Linked DNA regions of Kluyveromyces lactis. The protein of the gene in region 2 binds, or shares a complex with, the protein of the main gene of each other region. Links are inferred from orthologs where the notes say so. Each region holds a gene or a part of one and is shown on either strand. Other genes may lie near its edges.

Region 1 (3,050 bases), about 320 kb from region 2:
GACTTTATCAACGTCTTCATCCGTAGGCTCCTTTTCAAACCGATTCTGCATCAAGTTGAGCTTACCGGAATGGAACGTACGGCATACGTCGTTTCGTAACAATATCAGCGAACGCCCCTTTGGAACTTTGTACAACGCCCTACTGGCCACAGACTTTACGCCAAGCCTAGATACCGGCCTTATTAAATGGAACATTGCAAGTCACTTCAATGTAATAAAACCACCACGTCGCTGCTACGGTTAGCCGAGTCTGATTGCTATACCGTTTACCTAACAGGACTTTTCGAATTTAAAACCAGTGGAAAATCTTTGTTAACACCGAAACAAACCGAGACAAAAACAGCCGTTTCAACAAACACCTGGCTATTTTACACTACTATAGGGTCTTAAATTCACAATGCAACCACTGTAGATTGCAAATGTAACTGCTAACGCTCCTTTTATCGGTGGCAAATGGCCTTGTCTGTTCACCTTATGGGGTTGTTCTGGTTGAAAAGCCCAAATTCATTTTTGGTAGAGCAAGGACATATCGTTACCCGGCCACTTAGTATAATACACTCTTATTACGTATGTTGAGATATACACGTATACATGGGAGGTCAGTTCAGCTATGTTATAGGCTTGTTTCGAATCTCTTTTGTTCTTCTATAGCAGCGACTATATCTTCGTCCAAGATGTCTTCGTACATCGATGTAGGGACGTCAGAAAGACCGGTGCAAGGTCTTGCTAGGTCAAGAGCTTTGATTCTTGTTTCGTACATAACTTGGCTTGTGTTTCCTTTCACTTTCTTCACTGATATCACTCTCGTCGATTGTGTGGATTGTGGTATATGTAAGACGTTCGTGTACGTATCTCTTAGTCCGAGGTTTTCGATGAGAAGAATGCGTTCTCTATCGTAGAAAAGATCACTGTTGAATCTACTGCATGCAGCAGCATGATGATAGAGCCAGTTCGTAGATGAGATATTGCTTGTTGCCGGGATGTTGTGATTTCTCTTGTCAAAGAATTCTACTGCATTTTTGGATGGGTTGACGGATAATTGTTGCGGAATGTCTATTCCAAGGGTATTTCTTCCAGTGACACTTGTGTGTGATGTTTCTCTTGCTGGGGTACCCTCTTTCACCTTCCCGGATGCACGAAGCTTACCGGCGTAATAATCATCCGTGATGTTTTTACCATCTACAACAACCTTGGCTCCGAATTCTCGGAACACACTCCTTGCAGTAACTAGCGCAATGATTCTGTTTCTGTACGAATAGGGCAATACACCATTTTTGATGAGATCGTCTCTCTCTGATTGCGAGATAATCAATTTGTATAGGTTTGGATGGTACTGGAAGAACAAGTATGAGTCTCTGAACCCAACGGCACGGGCTGGCTCAGTAGAAAGCATGTATTTAACTTCACCTCTGGAAGGTACCGTGAAAGTTCTGACTACAAATTGTCTTCCCTCTAGAAGATCACCATTCTTGGTGATCTTGGTTTCACCCTCTGGATCCTCAGGTAATGAATACTCGTCATTCACAATTGGGTATGGAGACCCGTTTTCGTCCACTGGGTACGGTAGTTTCTGTCTTAAGGGATCGTTCAAATCTTCTTCTCTTTTCCTCTTTGAAGGCCTTCCTCTTGTCGCTAGTACCACTGGAACAGGTGTGCTCGAAGCGGCCTTGCGCTTGGAACGAGATGGTTTACCCTCGTTTTCGATATCAGCATCTGGGTCATCATCGTAATCATCATCATTGGCTGGTCCAGGGTACTCTTGATCCTTTTCATCATCTTCAATGTCTAACTCGTCTGTATCGATTTTATAGCTGGTTGCTTTGTTAGCTGAGCGAGAAACCCTCGAGCTCTTCCTGCCTCTTCCTGCTGCTGCCATATCTGATATAGGAGAAACTCAAGCTTCTTGATTGGTGATTCCAAATACAGAATTACTAAGGAATGTTATGCGTATATCCGCTTTCAACCGAGCTTTGTTGATCTTGTTTGTTTATATATAAGCTTTGAGAGGCAGGAATCTGTTCAATGTTCAAGAGAAACATCAAAACGTATGAGATGATAAAGAAGAAAGAACAACTTCAACGGCTTTACTAGAAGCTCTAGATATTTCTGGGGGGGGGGGCCTTGATGCAACATCTGATCCTCCTATTGTTATTCATTGTCTTATATTTCGTACGTTAACTAACTGTTAAATACTTTTATGTGTTACTGGTAAAAAATGTGTCTCATTCAAAACTCGACGGTCCACCTCTTGATACAGGCGTCCACACCGGCGCTGACGATAGTGGAATCGTTTTCCCATAGTACACTGGACACACCGTCCTTTTGTGCGTTTAATCTTTTTATCACTTTCATAGGTTTGTTAACAGAGTAGATGAAGATGTTGGTGTCCAGAGAGCCAGTGACAACATAATCTTCCTCCAAATCATCATCATTTGCAGAAGGTCTCCAGTCAATGGATGTAATTCTGCTTGTGTGGAATGACCATCTCGAGGTCTTGACGTCCTTCGTGTCAAGATCATATAGGATAATCTTACCGGACACGTCACCGGCAGCCAAGTACTTTTGTGATGGAGAGAAGGAAAGAGCAGATGGAGTGGCACGTAATGGAGTGGCCAACGTGAATGCATCTGATAGGTCAGAAATTTTGAATAGCTGCACGGAGTTGGTTTGTTCGTATGCCACTGCCACGAAAGTAGTTCCCAATGCGAGGGCCCCGACAGGTTTATCTAGAGTTATCGATTTCGATAATAGCCCACTCTTGTTATCGATGATCAACAATTCGTTAGTGTTTGTAGCAACAGCCAAAGTGTTATGAGAGAAAACCGCACATTTAGGTTGCTCTGAGAATTGGTACTTCGTTTCAGCAAGCGCTTTTTCACCATCGATGAAATTCTTCAACGTTTCGTCCCAAGAAACACTCGATACCTCGTTATCAGAGTTATCGATGGCCAATACGAGATTACCATGAATATCATGGCTAATAGCATTGACTTCGTCACCTTCTGAATTCCAGGTAACAACTCTACCATCGTATGACCCAGACACTAATG
Region 2 (3,236 bases):
GCATCTGCAGACAGTACTGAAGAAAGTAGATTATTATCGAAAGGCGTTAAGTCCATTGACTACACCAATGGAAGACTGTTGAGCATCAGTTCATTTGTTATATGGTTGACAATTGGTTCATTGAATTGTTATCTTGTATTTTCATACCTCATGGGAGCGGACGTGCATTTTTAAGTCTAAGTAGGCATTTTATATAGTTTTGATGGATTCTGTTTAATCTATAATCAATTCGTAAATTGTACTTATTGGATCTGCTTTGTTGATCTCTTCTCTTGTACCTTTGTTGTGGTTAATTTCTTTGTTCTTTATATAATCTTTAATTGTTCTTGGACATTTACCTTCGAAAGTAATTGAGGAAGTAAAAAAATCGAAACACTGATGGTTTCAGAAAATAACTCCAAATAATAGTAACCGTTAGCTATCACTGATAATAAACTAGCCCCACAGATTATTGCACACTACCACAGCTGCGATTTATAGATTCTATACGGAAATATCTACTTCACTGCATAACTTTCTTACTTTTCTTTTTTCTAGTCGATATGGTCTTGACGACAGGAACTGATCCGGCATAATTAGTCTGAAGGACTGGGAAATGTTTCTCGTGCAATTTTGGAGATGTCACAATCTGTTTAGAAAGTAGAGCTTCTTTCAAGATGTTCTGTGCTCTATGATAAAGGGAAACTTCCTCACTTGTTGGTTTTGATATCTTGTTCAGCTTGACCCTTCTCGATTTACATGCCTTTAGCTTTAGCAATATCTCTGTCAATAACCTTTGCTGTTCACCTTGCTCAAAAGCCGTTATATCTTCATCATGTATCTCATGGCTAGGTTGCCAGTCATAAAGATTTTTCAAATTAATATTGACAGGTCCAGCTGGCTCCGTTGTCACTATTACTTCATCTCCCTCCTCATTTGTATCTTGCTCTTCATCCGTGGCAACATTCTGCTCTTCATCATTTTCATTTGATTCCTTTTTTTGGTTGTCAGATCCGATACTGTCATTTGCTTCCTCAACCTTTTGATCTTCAATACCCTCATCCTTTATTTTTTCATCTTCAACATTTTTATCTTCTGCTTCCGCAGCCCCTCTCTTCTTCGATTCTATTTCTAACCAGCTTTTGTATCCGACCTTTTCCAACCATATGTCTCCTTTACGGGAACAATCTGTTACAGACTTGAACTCCGAGATACTCGGAGCAAAAGATTGATAGTCGCCATACTCCAACCATTTAGTAGTGGGTAGCGGGTACCAATTCGGATGCAGAAAGGAGGTCATGATTTCTGTAGGAGAAATTGTTGGATCAGGAACATTGGAAGTGTTAGCTGCTACGAATCCCAATCTATTGGCTGGTTGGGATGTTGCTTGAGGAATAATTTTCACAATTTCACATTCCTCGTATGGTACTTCCTTTGGCCTCTGATCAAGTACTGACCTCGTTATCACCGAACTGAACAAATGTCCCTCCTTTGTCTGCGTATGGTAAGTTTCAGTAACGGGGAGCTGATAAACTTGACTAATTTTAAGGAAATCATTGGAAATGGTTTTTGAAAAATCACTTTCTTTGAAGTCAATGTCTGCCGCGAAGTCTCCCACCAGTTTGGCTCCAACTCTATAACATTCCCTTAGAATCAATTCTGCTGCAAATTTGTAGAATTTGTCGACCATTTGGTACGACCTCGTTCCTTGAGAGTAGTAGTGAATTAAAATGGAGCATACTAATTTAATATCATGGTAAATCCGATAAACAGAATCTTCATGCTTCTGGTAATCTCCACTAGCAAATTTATCAGATATGGAAATTGAATCAATATCTTCTGCTATTTTGATATCTGGATTTTCATCAAACTTGGCCCTTAGAAACTTCACGTAAGAATCGTATATGTGTGTTGGATCAGGCTCGTAGAATTCTTTAGGAAACCTTTCATCTAAAGCTCTGCATTTCGAAGATGCACTAATTAAATCAAAATAAAATTAATACTGTTAGTATTTGATTGTAAAATAAAATCATGCTTTGGCAAATCTAACACTGAAAACATAAAATAAAGACTTGAGGAACCCCAGGTCATCGTATGCTGGTCTTTAATTTATTATTATCACCGATTCTAGACAAAAACATGTGCGAATGCAACATAATTCGAATGAAAAATGTGTTGTTTTTATATTCACATACCCTTTTAAAACAGTTAGTAAGTTCTGAAAAAAATTCTCTTTTAGCAGCTCTACCATTGTTTACTTATTTTTAGCCCACTATAAAAGAGTTTGCAGACCTTGTACTCTCTCACTGCCCATCAGTTTGTCATTCAGCAGTAATGTAAGAAGCCTTTATTGATCAACCTGCGCCAAAACCTGTGTTTTCATTATGAAAAACATCAAAACCGTACATCATGATCCAACTGGCATCCATTGACAGCTTTTACAGAGATTCCTGTCACAGCAACAGTACCCAGTCATAGCCTAACAAGCTAGGTATTGGCCTTTAATTATTCCAATGCAATTGGTATTATATGAGTTAATTAATTCTATAAATTGTACTGGTGTAGTTCTAGGGTCTTTTCGAAGCTTGATAGTTTTTAAATGCTTTTGGAGTAAGGAATTTCTTGACCGTCCATACACCTTTCTCTTTCTCTTGATGAACAGGGATAGGATTGAGTTCCCAACCAATCTTGATGTCGCTATCATTGCAAGATCCAAATCTAGGAACAACATAGCAGAATCTTTCTGTTGGCGATAAATCAATAGGTTTCAAACCTTGTCCAGTGATTGGTTTTCCGTAAGTGAGTAACGAGCCCTTTCTTGCAACGTTAGCCAATGGCGTGCTTTTAATGTCACAAAGAGACTTCATCCTTGTTTTCGCCTTTTCATTATTTTTATTGACATGTAGTGATTGGAAAACCAAGTATTTCGGAGGTTGCTCGCCAGAATTGTTGAGAATTGAGGTTGGATGAATATAAACAAAGATATCATCCAAAGAAGATGTTTTCTCAGCAAGGACTGGAACATAAGGGATATTGAAAATGTTGGTTTTGTTGATAGTAACGTCTTCCGGGAATAACTGGTCTGCGCGAACGGCCACCTGGTCGATAAATCCTGCTGTGATCATTTGCTTGAGTAATTTGATTTGAACATCGGTGGGGATCGAGCTCTTCAAGTCTTCGTCTTTAACATTTACAGCTACATTTTCTCTCGAAGTAACTGACCTGATGATGAACATCACCTGCTTTCTCAACTTCAT
Region 3 (3,759 bases), about 1.2 Mb from region 2:
ATAAAGAAAGCATTATGTTTTAACATTTGTTCGTATAGTTGCTGCTGGAGACTTGATAGCTTACATTTCACAACCTTCTCAACTTTGTCAGGTAAATCTTTTTCGACTTCCTTCTTCAAACGACGTAACAAAAATGGACGTAAAACTTTGTGCAATCTTCTAATAACTAGAAGCGTTTCTTCTTCTGTCATTTCTAGCTTTTCTTGAGTACCTGTGTTCGCGAATGGTGTATTAAACCATTCGTCAAATGTTTTTGAGGAATTAAAGATCTTAGGTAAAACAAAATTTAATAGAGCCCACAATTCTGGTAGATTATTTTGCAATGGAGTACCCGTTAAAATTAGCCTATTTTTTGTTTTGTAGTAATGTGTCAACGTGTAAGATAGTTTTGATTGAGCGTTTTTCATTCTATGACCTTCATCGATAATCATATGAGCCCAATCGTGTTTGGCCAACAGTGGACGATCCTTTATAATGTACTCATAAGTAGTTAGAACCACGTCGAAATTTCCCATTTTGATTGTATGTTGCAAAGCCTTACGTTGGTTTGGGTTCCCTTTGTACACAATGGTTCTTAGAGAAGGTGCCCATTTTTCGAATTCTATAGTCCAGTTCGTGATGGTGGATAAAGGGACAATCACCAAAAATGGTTGCCTCTCGTTCTTTATTTCATAAAGATAACTGATCAACGAGATGGATTGAATTGTTTTACCTAGACCCATTTCATCTGCGAGAATACCGTTAAGATGATTATTGTATAGAGACACCATCCACTCTAAACCCTTTAGTTGATACTCTTTCAACGTGCCTCCAACCAATATGCTTGGCTGTTTGTCTACTGTTTCCTTAATTCTGTGGGAAACCTCGTAATAATCAATTTTTTCTCTTTCTTCATCCGTGATTGGAGGAATTTCTTCACCCCTTTTGATGCGTACCTCATTTTGCTGCACTCTAACCGCTTGAGCAAGAGAATCCAAGAAAGAATTAGTTTGTTTCAATAGATGTGTAATTCTTGTATCTTTGGTTTGGTCTAACAATTTCAAATATGCTTCTTCATCATTGGACTTCAAGGCTGCTAAACGTTGCTTGGCAGTTCTTTCCATTCTTCTCTGCTCATCTTTCTCCAAATGACCATGCAAGTTTCCGATAGATCTACCCATTTGATAACAGCGATCACGTTGTGTTGTATCATTCTCCAATCTTTCGTTGATACTTGATACAATATTATTGATCCTTTGTAACCGTAAGTTTCTTTCTCTTCTCCTGCTTTCTACCAATTCCTGCCTTTCAAGTTCTTCTGCTAATCTAGCAGTTTGTGGAACGATGGTCTTCGGTCTAACATGAATGGATCTTTGAGCTGCTAAAGTATAAGGAGAGTCACGGAGAGATGGAATGATATTATGCGATTTAGCTGCAACACTTTCAATCAGCCTCTTTCTCAAAGATTTCTGTTTCGTTAGCATTTTCAAGGACTTGAGCTCCACCAAAGCTCTTAACTTGAAGTCGTCTGCGCCGGTAGGAATATCATCTTTAGTTACAAAATCAAGCGCATCATTTAAAGAATATGTTCCCAAATTAGAGGGTAGATTTTCAAGTTGTTTAATTCTTTTCGCAATGAGTGTGGAGATTATTTTTTCAACCTCCCAATCTCCAAGCGAGGCTTCATTTCCAGATTTAAGACGAAAGTTGCTTAAAGCTTCGGGAAGGCCTAAGCGCACACTTGTTTCGTCGAAATCAACAGAAAGTTTAACCTTCTCCAGTTGTACCGAGATATCAGAACTGTCGGAACTTACTGATTCATCATCATCATCCTCTAAGAGGCCATCCGGTATATTTATATCTTTACTCAAAAGCTGTAAGCTTACCATTTGCTCCTTCAACAACTTTTCGTCCCACTGAATATCTTTGGCTGCGTTTTCTCTTAACCTCAGCAGCCTTTCCTTGTACTCTTCCTGTTTATCCGAGATTTGGGTGAAAATTTGTTCAATAGCCTCAACTTCAAGCTTATTATGATCTCTATATTGAGAAATGTATCTGTAACGATAAATCAAATTTTCTAATTGTTCTTTCGTTTCAGGTAGTGGCAAGATTACTCTTTCCACCTTCTTCATTTCTTCTAGAACAGCGGCAATCTGGTTCTGTCCAATAGCACTACCACTGTCGTTCCGAAAATTGTTGTTGCTTCCTTTGTCAGCACCAACATGGTTGTCTTCGATATTGCCGTTAACGTCCTGGTTTTCAGTTTCGGAATTCCCATTATCAACATTCTCAGAATTCACTATAGGAAGCGGATAAGGAGGCGCTGTATCCGCGTTATTCGTTACGACGACTTGATCCATTGTTGTTTTATTTCACACTTCTTAACGTGATCCAGGTCTCTTCCCGCTAGTGAGCTTTAAACCTTTTTTATTCTGAAAGGGGGTAAAACAATAACTGAAGTCCTGCTAAAAAAATTCAGAGTTGTCACAAAGCTAACGCGATACAAACAGGTACTATTGCCCTAGAATTCTTTACTGTTTCGCTTTCGGTGCGTCTATTTTTTTAGCCGCCGTTGCCGTGTTGAAAACAAACCTCTGTTCGTCCTTTTCTCGTGTCAAAACTAAATTCAGAATAAAATCAAACTGTTTTCAAATTCATCCTCTTTTTCACAATTTTATTTATCGTGTTTACTTTTTTCTTTGACATTCACTATTGCCATGGGCCAAAGTACGGGTAACAACAACAAGAACCGGGTAATAAACCAACTTCGATCACGTGCCAAAATATTCGCATTAAAGTGGGCACCATTGTTTCTTTTCTTGTTTAATATTTCATGACCTAAAATGAAAATTTGGATAATACGCCATGGATGAGATGAGATGAGATTAGATGAGATGTGATGAGAGTGAACTATCAAGTTCCCCGATTGAGATAGTTACAGTGCTTCGAACTGTTACAAAAGTGTCTTCTGTATTGACAATCAAGGTTTGAAGAACTAAAATTCTCTGATTATAATGTCATCTCTTGCAGCTGCTCATGCTACCAACGCTGTGAACGCATTGTTGCAAAGCGTACTGCCGGGTTCTGCGTCGGTTAATGCAGAAAGAAAGAAAACAAGCCGAGACAAAGGCTCGAAAGCACAACTAATAGATAGGAACTTGAAGAAAAGAGTAGAGGTACAAGAAAAGGATGTATACCGGATCAAAAAGAGGGAGAAGAAAATGTTGAGAAAGAAGATATCTGGAAGAAAAGAAGTCCAAGAGGATATAGAACAGAAGGCTAAGCTACAAGTACTAAGAAAGCATCAAGTAGATAATTCTCTTACGGATCATGAGAAATCCTATTTGGATAAAGTGGTGAAGAAAAATGTTCGCAACCTGAAAAGTTGGGATTATGACGATAAGGAAGAACTGTTAGATTTACAGAAACAAATACTTGCCAACTCAGAAGATTCAAAGAAGGTAAGGAAGGTAAAATCTAGGAGACAAAAGAAGAAACAGTTCAAGGAGAAGCTACCACAATCGATACAAGACCACAGATATAAAGCTCTCACACCTGGATTGGCTCCAGTTGGTGCGAGCGATGAGGAGGAATCAGAAGACGAAGATGAAGATTATTGAGCTCATATTTACAAAGACGTACAGGTACGGAGTTTTCATTGCGGCTCATACAAAGGTGTGTTTTTTTCTCTCAGCATATGATCAAATACTCAGTAGACTCAAGTGTTCATTGTCGGTTCATATATATTAATTAAGTATATTCATTATTTGAAGGAAGTAG

Evidence for each region.
Region 1: RSC58 (region 2) and NPL6 share a complex: the UniProt entries of both Saccharomyces cerevisiae proteins name them as parts of the two forms of the RSC complex. The link is inferred for Kluyveromyces lactis from reciprocal best matches to the Saccharomyces cerevisiae genes RSC58 and NPL6.
Region 3: the proteins of RSC58 (region 2) and STH1 are in contact, whole or in part, in a cryo-EM structure (PDB 6V8O), measured with the Saccharomyces cerevisiae proteins. The link is inferred for Kluyveromyces lactis from reciprocal best matches to the Saccharomyces cerevisiae genes RSC58 and STH1. Residues at the interface, in NP_013133.1 of Saccharomyces cerevisiae: Ala23, Ala24, Lys122, Lys125, Phe126, Glu129, Asn239, Ala241, Pro242, Arg243, Leu244, Gly245, Val247, Gly248, Ala249, Asn250, Ile254, Pro255, Asp256, Pro257, Thr258, Thr262, Glu263, Met264, Met265, Phe268, His270, Pro271, Asn272, Trp273; in NP_012140.1 of Saccharomyces cerevisiae: Lys48, Pro49, Arg50, Ser51, Ser52, Leu55, Leu59, Glu80, Phe83, Arg84, Ile86, Ser87, Asp89, Gln90, Asp91, Tyr93, Glu94, Lys96, Leu97, Leu100, Arg101, Ser103, Ile104, Asp105, Lys106, Phe108, Gln109, Tyr110, Asp111, Glu112.

The regions. Positions count from the first base shown.
Region 1 is NC_006042.1:1,271,884-1,274,933, forward strand, and holds NPL6 (Npl6p), read right to left. Parts: upstream 1,877-3,050; coding exon 614-1,876; downstream 1-613. Other genes in the region: m-AAA protease subunit YTA12, read right to left, coding at 1-195; AIP1 (Aip1p), read right to left, coding at 2,227-3,050. UniProt on the Saccharomyces cerevisiae protein: Component of the chromatin structure remodeling complex (RSC), which is involved in transcription regulation and nucleosome positioning. RSC is responsible for the transfer of a histone octamer from a nucleosome core particle to naked DNA.
Region 2 is NC_006042.1:1,593,535-1,596,770, forward strand, and holds RSC58 (Rsc58p), read right to left. Parts: upstream 2,231-3,236; coding exon 2,175-2,230; intron 1,956-2,174; coding exon 503-1,955; downstream 1-502. Other genes in the region: putative divalent metal ion transporter SMF3, read left to right, coding at 1-174; ATP-dependent RNA helicase ECM16, read right to left, coding at 2,547-3,236. UniProt on the Saccharomyces cerevisiae protein: Component of the chromatin structure-remodeling complex (RSC), which is involved in transcription regulation and nucleosome positioning. RSC is responsible for the transfer of a histone octamer from a nucleosome core particle to naked DNA.
Region 3 is NC_006042.1:437,345-441,103, forward strand, and holds the start of STH1 (RSC chromatin remodeling complex ATPase subunit STH1), read right to left. Parts: upstream 2,340-3,759; coding exon 1-2,339. Other genes in the region: RRT14 (Rrt14p), read left to right, coding at 2,994-3,599. UniProt on the Saccharomyces cerevisiae protein: Catalytic component of the chromatin structure-remodeling complex (RSC), which is involved in transcription regulation and nucleosome positioning. RSC is responsible for the transfer of a histone octamer from a nucleosome core particle to naked DNA.